Arabidopsis thaliana: one gene and its partner. The protein of the gene in region 1 interacts with the protein of each later gene in a pairwise test. Each region holds a gene or a part of one and is shown on either strand. Other genes may lie near its edges.

Evidence for each region.
Region 2: the proteins of JAC1 (region 1) and GRP7 come close enough for resonance energy transfer, tested with the Arabidopsis thaliana proteins (one study listed by BioGRID).

Annotation. Positions count from the first base shown.
Region 1 is NC_003070.9:28,191,979-28,195,900, reverse strand, and holds the start of JAC1 (J-domain protein required for chloroplast accumulation response 1), read left to right. Parts: upstream 1-1,832; 5' UTR 1,833-2,131; coding exon 2,132-2,541; intron 2,542-2,620; coding exon 2,621-3,246; intron 3,247-3,334; coding exon 3,335-3,729; intron 3,730-3,808; coding exon 3,809-3,922. Other genes in the region: RRA2 (Nucleotide-diphospho-sugar transferase family protein), read left to right, coding at 16-189, 441-1,553. UniProt on the Arabidopsis thaliana protein: Required for chloroplast photorelocation movement; chloroplast accumulation upon low blue light and for chloroplast movement to the bottom of cells in darkness, by modulating chloroplast actin (Cp-actin) filaments distribution, appearance and disappearance.
Region 2 is NC_003071.7:9,264,489-9,268,410, reverse strand, and holds GRP7 (cold, circadian rhythm, and rna binding 2), read left to right. Parts: upstream 1-1,853; 5' UTR 1,854-2,094; coding exon 2,095-2,208; intron 2,209-2,517; coding exon 2,518-2,934; 3' UTR 2,935-3,327; downstream 3,328-3,922. Other genes in the region: AT2G21680 (Galactose oxidase/kelch repeat superfamily protein), read right to left, coding at 1-681. UniProt on the Arabidopsis thaliana protein: Plays a role in RNA transcription or processing during stress. Binds RNAs and DNAs sequence with a preference to single-stranded nucleic acids. Displays strong affinity to poly(U) and poly(G) sequence.

The DNA of each region.
Region 1 (3,922 bases):
TGCGTCATTTCGGCAATGGCGGGTCGCAGAGACAGGATCCAACAGCTCCGTGGATCTCGAATTGCGATTGCCATCTTTGTCGGAATTCTTATCGGCTGTGTCTGTTCCGTCTTGTTCCCGAACGGCTTCTTTAACTCGGGATCATCCTTGATTGCTAACGAAGAACGCATTTCGAAATCAACCTCTACGGTACTGAGAGAGATCTTATGCTTTAAACATCTACAAATTCCTTTTTTTAGAAATTTTTCTGTAATCTCGAGCTCTCGATTTGTGATTAGAATTAGTGTTTGTTGGAATTTGAGAATTTGAGTCTCTTGCGTTTGTTATGAAGATTCAAAATCTTCATGGATTTTTGAGTAGAACTACAAATTGCATGTCTTGAACATTTGAGTTTAACTGGTGAAGTTTCATTTTTTTTCTCTGTTTTTTGAATTGTTCAGGATGGATTGGCTTCATGTGAATCATCTGAACGAGTCAAAATGCTCAAATCAGACTTTTCAATTATCTCGGTAAAGAACGCAGAGTTAAGGAAGCAGGTAAGAGAACTAACGGAGAAGGTACGGTTGGCGGAACAGGAAACAGAGAATGCAAGGAAACAAGTCTTAGTTTTGGGATCAGAGATAAAGGCAGGGCCTTTTGGTACTGTCAAGAGTCTGAGAACTAATCCAACTGTTGTTCCTGATGAGTCTGTTAACCCGAGATTAGCTAAGCTTTTAGAGAAAGTAGCTGTCAATAAAGAGATCATTGTGGTTCTTGCAAATTCAAATGTGAAACCAATGTTGGAGTTGCAGATTGCTAGTGTAAAGAGAGTTGGTATTCAAAACTACCTCATTGTCGCGTTGGATGATTCCATGGAAAGTTTCTGCGAATCGAAGGAGGTTGTGTTTTACAAGCGAGATCCAGATAAAGCAGTGGACATGGTTGGAAAAAGCGGAGGTAATCACGCTGTTTCCGGACTGAAGTTCCGCGTCTTAAGAGAGTTCTTGCAGCTTGGTTACAGTGTTCTTCTATCGGATGTGGACATTGTCTTCTTGCAGAATCCTTTTAGTCATTTACACAGAGACTCTGATGTTGAGTCAATGAGTGATGGTCACGACAATAACACGGCTTATGGCTTCAACGATGTGTTTGATGAACCATCAATGGGATGGGCTAGGTATGCACACACAATGAGGATATGGGTTTTCAATTCAGGGTTTTTCTATCTAAGACCAACTATTCCTTCAATAGACCTACTCGATCGTGTGGCAGATACACTCTCTAAGTCAGAGGCATGGGACCAAGCGGTTTTCAACGAGCAACTCTTTTACCCTTCGCATCCAGGGTACACTGGCTTACACGCTTCCAAGAGAGTCATGGATATGTACGAGTTCATGAACAGTAAGGTACTCTTCAAAACAGTGAGAAAGAATCAAGAACTGAAGAAGTTGAAGCCAGTGATTGTGCATCTCAATTACCATCCAGATAAACTCGAACGAATGCACGCTGTGGTAGAGTTCTACGTTAATGGCAAACAAGATGCGTTGGATAGCTTTCCCGATGGTTCAGATTGATAAAAGAGATGGATGCTTGTTAAGCAAGATATCGAAAAACCCAATCATCTTCTTCTTCCTCGAGTTAAGAAAAAAGGTAGGCTAAGTTTCATCTTCCCACATCTGTTGTTATAATCAGTTATCCTTTTAGGTTCCTAGTTCTTCTTCTCTACTAAGAATCTTGTGTAGCCTATAGCTGAAAAACTCAAGAGTCTTATTAACAATACTGTATTGTTGACCACAGTTTCTTATTTAGTCAGAAAAGTCTCTCTTTTTTTAACTATGCATTATTTCCTGACCACAAAAAAAAATTATGAGAGAGACAACAAACGAGAGATTAGGCAAGAAAGAGAGATATGGAAGAACAAGGAAGACAAAGAGAGTGTAAGAGTTTTGGATGTATGTGGGTTTTATCCACAAACAAGACTCTTTAAGATTCTTCTCTCTGTAATGACCGGAAAATCCCATTTTTTTGTGGTTTCAAATCAAATGGAACCCCACTCTTACCTCTGTCTTTGTCTTTTTCTTAAAGCCTTTTGTTTCAGCCTCTGTATGTATCTCCCTCTCCGGAGCAATTGCAAATTCTGTGTCTTTGTGCTATGCAGACATTACCAAGCTCAGAAACCGTTCTTTTAGGCTCCAACTCAGCACCACCTGTGTTGCGTAGTCCCGGTGGCGATGACGTGGACATCGATTTTGGTGACGTGTTTGGTGGTCCTCCTAAGAGACGCTCTAAAGTTACTAGTAACGAAGTCACACGACATAGCTTCAGTGAATCCGCTCTCCGGCGTCGTGACGTCATCGTCGACGTCGGCGATCTGCTTCCGCAAGACGAGAAGCCTGTATTCGGCGAAGATACATCATCTGTCCGGCGTCGTTTCACCACTGATGATTTCTTCGACGATATTTTCAGAGTTAATGAATCATCATCACTTCCGGGTTCTCGGATCCTTAGCCCGGCTCACAAACCCGAATCTTCTTCAGGGACTTCGTCTCCATCCCAATTCAGGTCTGTTTTCTTTGAACTAATTTAAACGAAGAGATAAGTTTCGTTGCTAATTTGTATAATTGTTGACTTTGTTACTCAGTCTTCCTGCAAAAGCAACAGAGATTCCAACATTTAATTTAGCAGCTACTCGTAGTTTGAACAAGAACAAAGAAACTGTTTCGAGCTCTCCTTTGTCAAGAACTTCAAGCAAAGCAGATGTGGTCTCTACTGCTAAATCATATTCAGATGATTGTGATGATCCTCCACAAGTTTTTGTTACTGGGAAAGGAAGGCAATTTCATTTCTCTATCTACAAGTGGCCTAATAAAGGAGTTCCTGTTGTTATTTGGGGAAGCTCTAGATTGAGTTCTATGTCTAAAGCTGAGGAGACAACACCTGTACCATTGAGTGATTATCGAAAAACTTCAGTTGTTGAGAAATTGGGTAAAAATGAAGAAGGAGATGGAAAAAGTGGTTTATCTGGTTTGAAAGATGTGAAGAAGACCTCGCTAAAGCGTCCTGGTGTCCAGACAAAAGAAGAGAAAACAGAAACAGATTTGAAGTCTGAACAAGCCTTCTTTGGTGTCTCAAAAGCACGTGAGGCTAATGTGAAGCCTCTTGATTCAGTTGAGTCTGAACAGGCCTTCTCTGGTGTGTCAAAAGCACATGAAGCTACTACTGTGAAGCCTCTTCATTCAATTTTTCATGAAGAAGATGAGAGACAAGGTTGGTTTCTGCAGACATGTATATTTGTTACATTTGGTTGGGTTAACTTCCTTTTGTTGACTGTGCATTTGGTTCTTTGTCATTGCAGATGAGAAAATAGTATCAGAGAGAGAAGTGAGAAAAGGTAAAAGCAAAGCGAAGAACACTCGAAGTTTTACCGAAGATTCAAGAACCAAGAAGAAATCACAAGGCACTAAAAGTTCTTTGGATAGTAGCCCGATACCCGATAAATCCAGCTTCGCAAGTTCATCAGCAGCACCAGAAGTTGGCAAAGATGGAGTCAAAGGAAAAGTGAGTGACTTCGTTAAGATTTTCAGTAAAGGAGCTTCAGTTGGAGCAGGTGGGGAATCTCTTGGACAAAGCTCTAGATGGAGAGCTAAAGAAACTCCCAAGACTGATATCATTCATGATGGTTCTAATGCCAAGGAAACTGTAAACATTCCTGATCAACAAAAGAAATCGACTCCAGATATCCCCGCTATGGTACTTAATCAGAAAATCAAGATCCTACTTGCTATATGTTCCTTGGTTTGTGATTCCTTACCTGTAAATATCGTTGCAGAATCGGGATCAGAAACCTTCACAGTCAACTCAGAAAAAAGATTCAGACCGGGAGAGCATGAACTATAAGGCTCCTGGTGATACTGTACAAGAAGAGAGACAAGAACCTAGCACA
Region 2 (3,922 bases), on another chromosome or scaffold:
TCCGATCACATAAATCTTTCCGTCAATTACACCCGCGGCTGCGCGACAGCGAGCCATCTTCATACTCGGGAGGGAGCGATACTCGTGAAATCTGCAGTTTATGTGAGTCACATCCGAGATGCGTCGTTCGCCTGCGTGTCCACCTCTTATGGATGTCTCGCCGCGGCGTCCACCGCTTATGGGTTTATTATAGCCTACGCCTACATCTTCTAAAAGTTTCTCGCCGACGCGTCCACCAATGACATAGATATCCGATCCGATAGTGACGACAGTAGATCCCCAAGGCATGGGAGGGAGGGAATCGATTTTGCACAATTTCAACGAAATCGTGTTAGGCAAGTTTCGATAGGGTTTACGATGGAGAATGTACCAGCTAGGGTTTTCAACAGGAGGGAATCCAACGTAGGCGTAAAGAACGTTTTCGGTGTAGCCGAGACGCAAGCGATCATCGTAGAGCTTCGACATGAGACTATGGAAGGATCTGCAGACGAGGGAAAGCGACGGGTGGTGACATCTCCGAACGAGTAGGAAGCAACGTAAGATGAGTTCTTCTGGAATTGGTAGCGACACCTGAACCTTTTCTTTCAATTTCTTGTTTCGATCCTCTTCTTTTTTAGGTTTCTTGATTTGATGATCGCCGCCAGTAGAGCCGTCGTCGGAAGTTTCAGAGATTAAAACCATCACCGTGTGAGTTGGTAGCGAATTAACGGAAAGTCTAAGTCAAGATTTTTTAAAAAGAAATTTATGTGTGAAAAGAAGCCGTTGTGTATATTTATATAATTTAGAAAATGTTTCATCATTTTAATTAAAAAATTAATAATTTGTAGAAGAAAGAAGCATTTTTTATACATAAATCATTTACCTTCTTTACTGTGTTTTTCTTCACTTACTTCATTTTTACTTTTTTACAAAAAAGTGAAAAGTAAATTACGTAATTGGTAACATAAATTCACTTTAAATTTGCATATGTTTTGTTTTCTTCGGAAACTATATCGAAAAGCAAACGGAAAGAACTTCACAAAAAACCCTAGCTAACTAAAGACGCATGTGTTCTTCTTATTCTTCATATATCCTCTGTTTCTTGTGTTCTGTTTTGAGTCTTACATTTTCAATATCTGACTCTGATTACTATATCTAAAAGGGAACATGAAGAACTTGAGACCATGTTAAACTGTACAATGCCTTCAAACATGGCTAACTAAAGATACATTAGATGGCTTTACAGTGTGTAATGCTTATTATCTTTAGGTTTTTTAAATCCCTTGTATTAAGTTATTTACCAAATTATGTTCTTGTACTGCTTATTGGCTTGGTTGTTGTGTGCTTTGTAAACAACACCTTTGGCTTTATTTCATCCTTTGTAAACCTACTGGTCTTTGTTCAGCTCCTCTTGGAAGTGAGTTTGTATGCCTGGAACGGGTTTTAATGGAGTGTTTATCGACAAAAAAAAAATGTAGCTTTTGAAATCACAGAGAGTAGTTTTATATTCAAATTACATGCATGCAACTAAGTAGCAACAAAGTTGATATGGCCGAGTTGGTCTAAGGCGCCAGATTAAGGTTCTGGTCCGAAAGGGCGTGGGTTCAAATCCCACTGTCAACATTCTCTTTTTCTCAAATTAATATTTTTCTGCCTCAATGGTTCAGGCCCAATTATACTAGACTACTATCGCGACTAAAATAGGGACTAGCCGAATTGATCCGGCCCAGTATCAGTTGTGTATCACCACGTTATTTCAAATTTCAAACTAAGGGATAAAGATGTCATTTGACATATGAGATATTTTTTTGCTCCACTGAGATATTTTTCTTTGTCCCAAGATAAAATATCTTTTCTCGCATCGTCGTCTTTCCATTTGCGCATTAAACCAAAAAGTGTCACGTGATATGTCCCCAACCACTACGAATTTTAACTACAGATTTAACCATGGTTAAACCAGAATTCACGTAAACCGACTCTAAACCTAGAAAATATCTAAACCTTGGTTAATATCTCAGCCCCCTTATAAATAACGAGACTTCGTCTACATCGTTCTACACATCTCACTGCTCACTACTCTCACTGTAATCCCTTAGATCTTCTTTTCAAATTTCAATGGCGTCCGGTGATGTTGAGTATCGGTGCTTCGTTGGAGGTCTAGCATGGGCCACTGATGACAGAGCTCTTGAGACTGCCTTCGCTCAATACGGCGACGTTATTGATTCCAAGGTCTGTTACACGCCGAGATCGGACTCCGAGTGATATCGATGATCTCATCCTCGACGGATCTGTTCCGATCTTGTGTTTCTCTGTTACTTGATTCGATTACTCTGTTACTATTCTCGTTCTTTGTTACTACTACTACTACTACTGTTACTTGTATTTTCCCAAATCGGTACGTTCATCTTCCTGCTTCTGTGAGCCCGGAGATCGATCGGATTTTTTTGTATTTTGTATATTTGTTGTAGATCTAAATGCTTTTGTTCAGTTTTGTTGGATTGTTTTGCTGATCTGGTTTTTGTATTATTTGGATAACAGATCATTAACGATCGTGAGACTGGAAGATCAAGGGGATTCGGATTCGTCACCTTCAAGGATGAGAAAGCCATGAAGGATGCGATTGAGGGAATGAACGGACAAGATCTCGATGGCCGTAGCATCACTGTTAACGAGGCTCAGTCACGAGGAAGCGGTGGCGGCGGAGGCCACCGTGGAGGTGGTGGCGGTGGATACCGCAGCGGCGGTGGTGGAGGTTACTCCGGTGGAGGTGGTAGCTACGGAGGTGGCGGCGGTAGACGCGAGGGTGGAGGAGGATACAGCGGCGGCGGCGGCGGTTACTCCTCAAGAGGTGGTGGTGGCGGAAGCTACGGTGGTGGAAGACGTGAGGGAGGAGGAGGATACGGTGGTGGTGAAGGAGGAGGTTACGGAGGAAGCGGTGGTGGTGGAGGATGGTAATTCCTTTAATTAGGTTTGGGATTACCAATGAATGTTCTCTCTCTCGCTTGTTATGCTTCTACTTGGTTTTGTGTGTTCTCTATTTTGTTCTGGTTCTGCTTTAGATTTGATGTAACAGTTCGTGATTAGGTATTTTGGTATCTGGAAACGTAATGTTAAGTCACTTGTCATTCTCTAAATAACAAATTTCTTCGGAGATATTATCTCTGTTGATTGATTCTATCATCTAAATTTCGGAAATGCTAATCGGATACCGGAATGGTGCCTTTGTTACGATTGAGTTACTTACATCACTGATACAACAATGAAGTACTTACTGATTATCTTTATACCATTCACCACACTACCTTTGATATTCAACAATGAAGTAGAAACCTATTTGGTTCATTCGCATCAACAAGAGTACTCTGAAATTACTGATTATTTTCGATTTTAGACTGCTATGGAGATTTCCAACTCAACTTATGCATGTTACAAAAGCTACTATATTTCTGTGATCCAGTTTAAAGTTAACTCATTGAGTCACTGTTGTTGTTCTTCCTTTAGACGAAAATGTATTTAACTCATGAACTTTGTAAACAAAATGAAGCTATTTTAGACCGTGTGTATCCTACTCCCCTTCTTCATAATCATATCGAATGTGTTCCTATTTGGTAATTTCATTTTGGATTTGCTCAAACATATCAAATTTATACTTTGAAAAGAAAAGAATCAACAAACTAAAGTTATTTCATAATATATATTTTACTTATCTCATAATCCAAACATATAATTTATGAAATAACTTTATTTTGTTGATTCTTTTCTTTTCAAAGTATATAATTTACTTATTTCATAATCCAAACAATTATATAGAAACTTTCATAACATGAGTTAATATAAGCCTAACGCTAAATTTATATAGAAACTTTCTTAACATGAGTCAAATTAAGTCTAATGCGAAATTTTACATTCTAATTTAATTTTTAATGATGTTTAACATATTAAC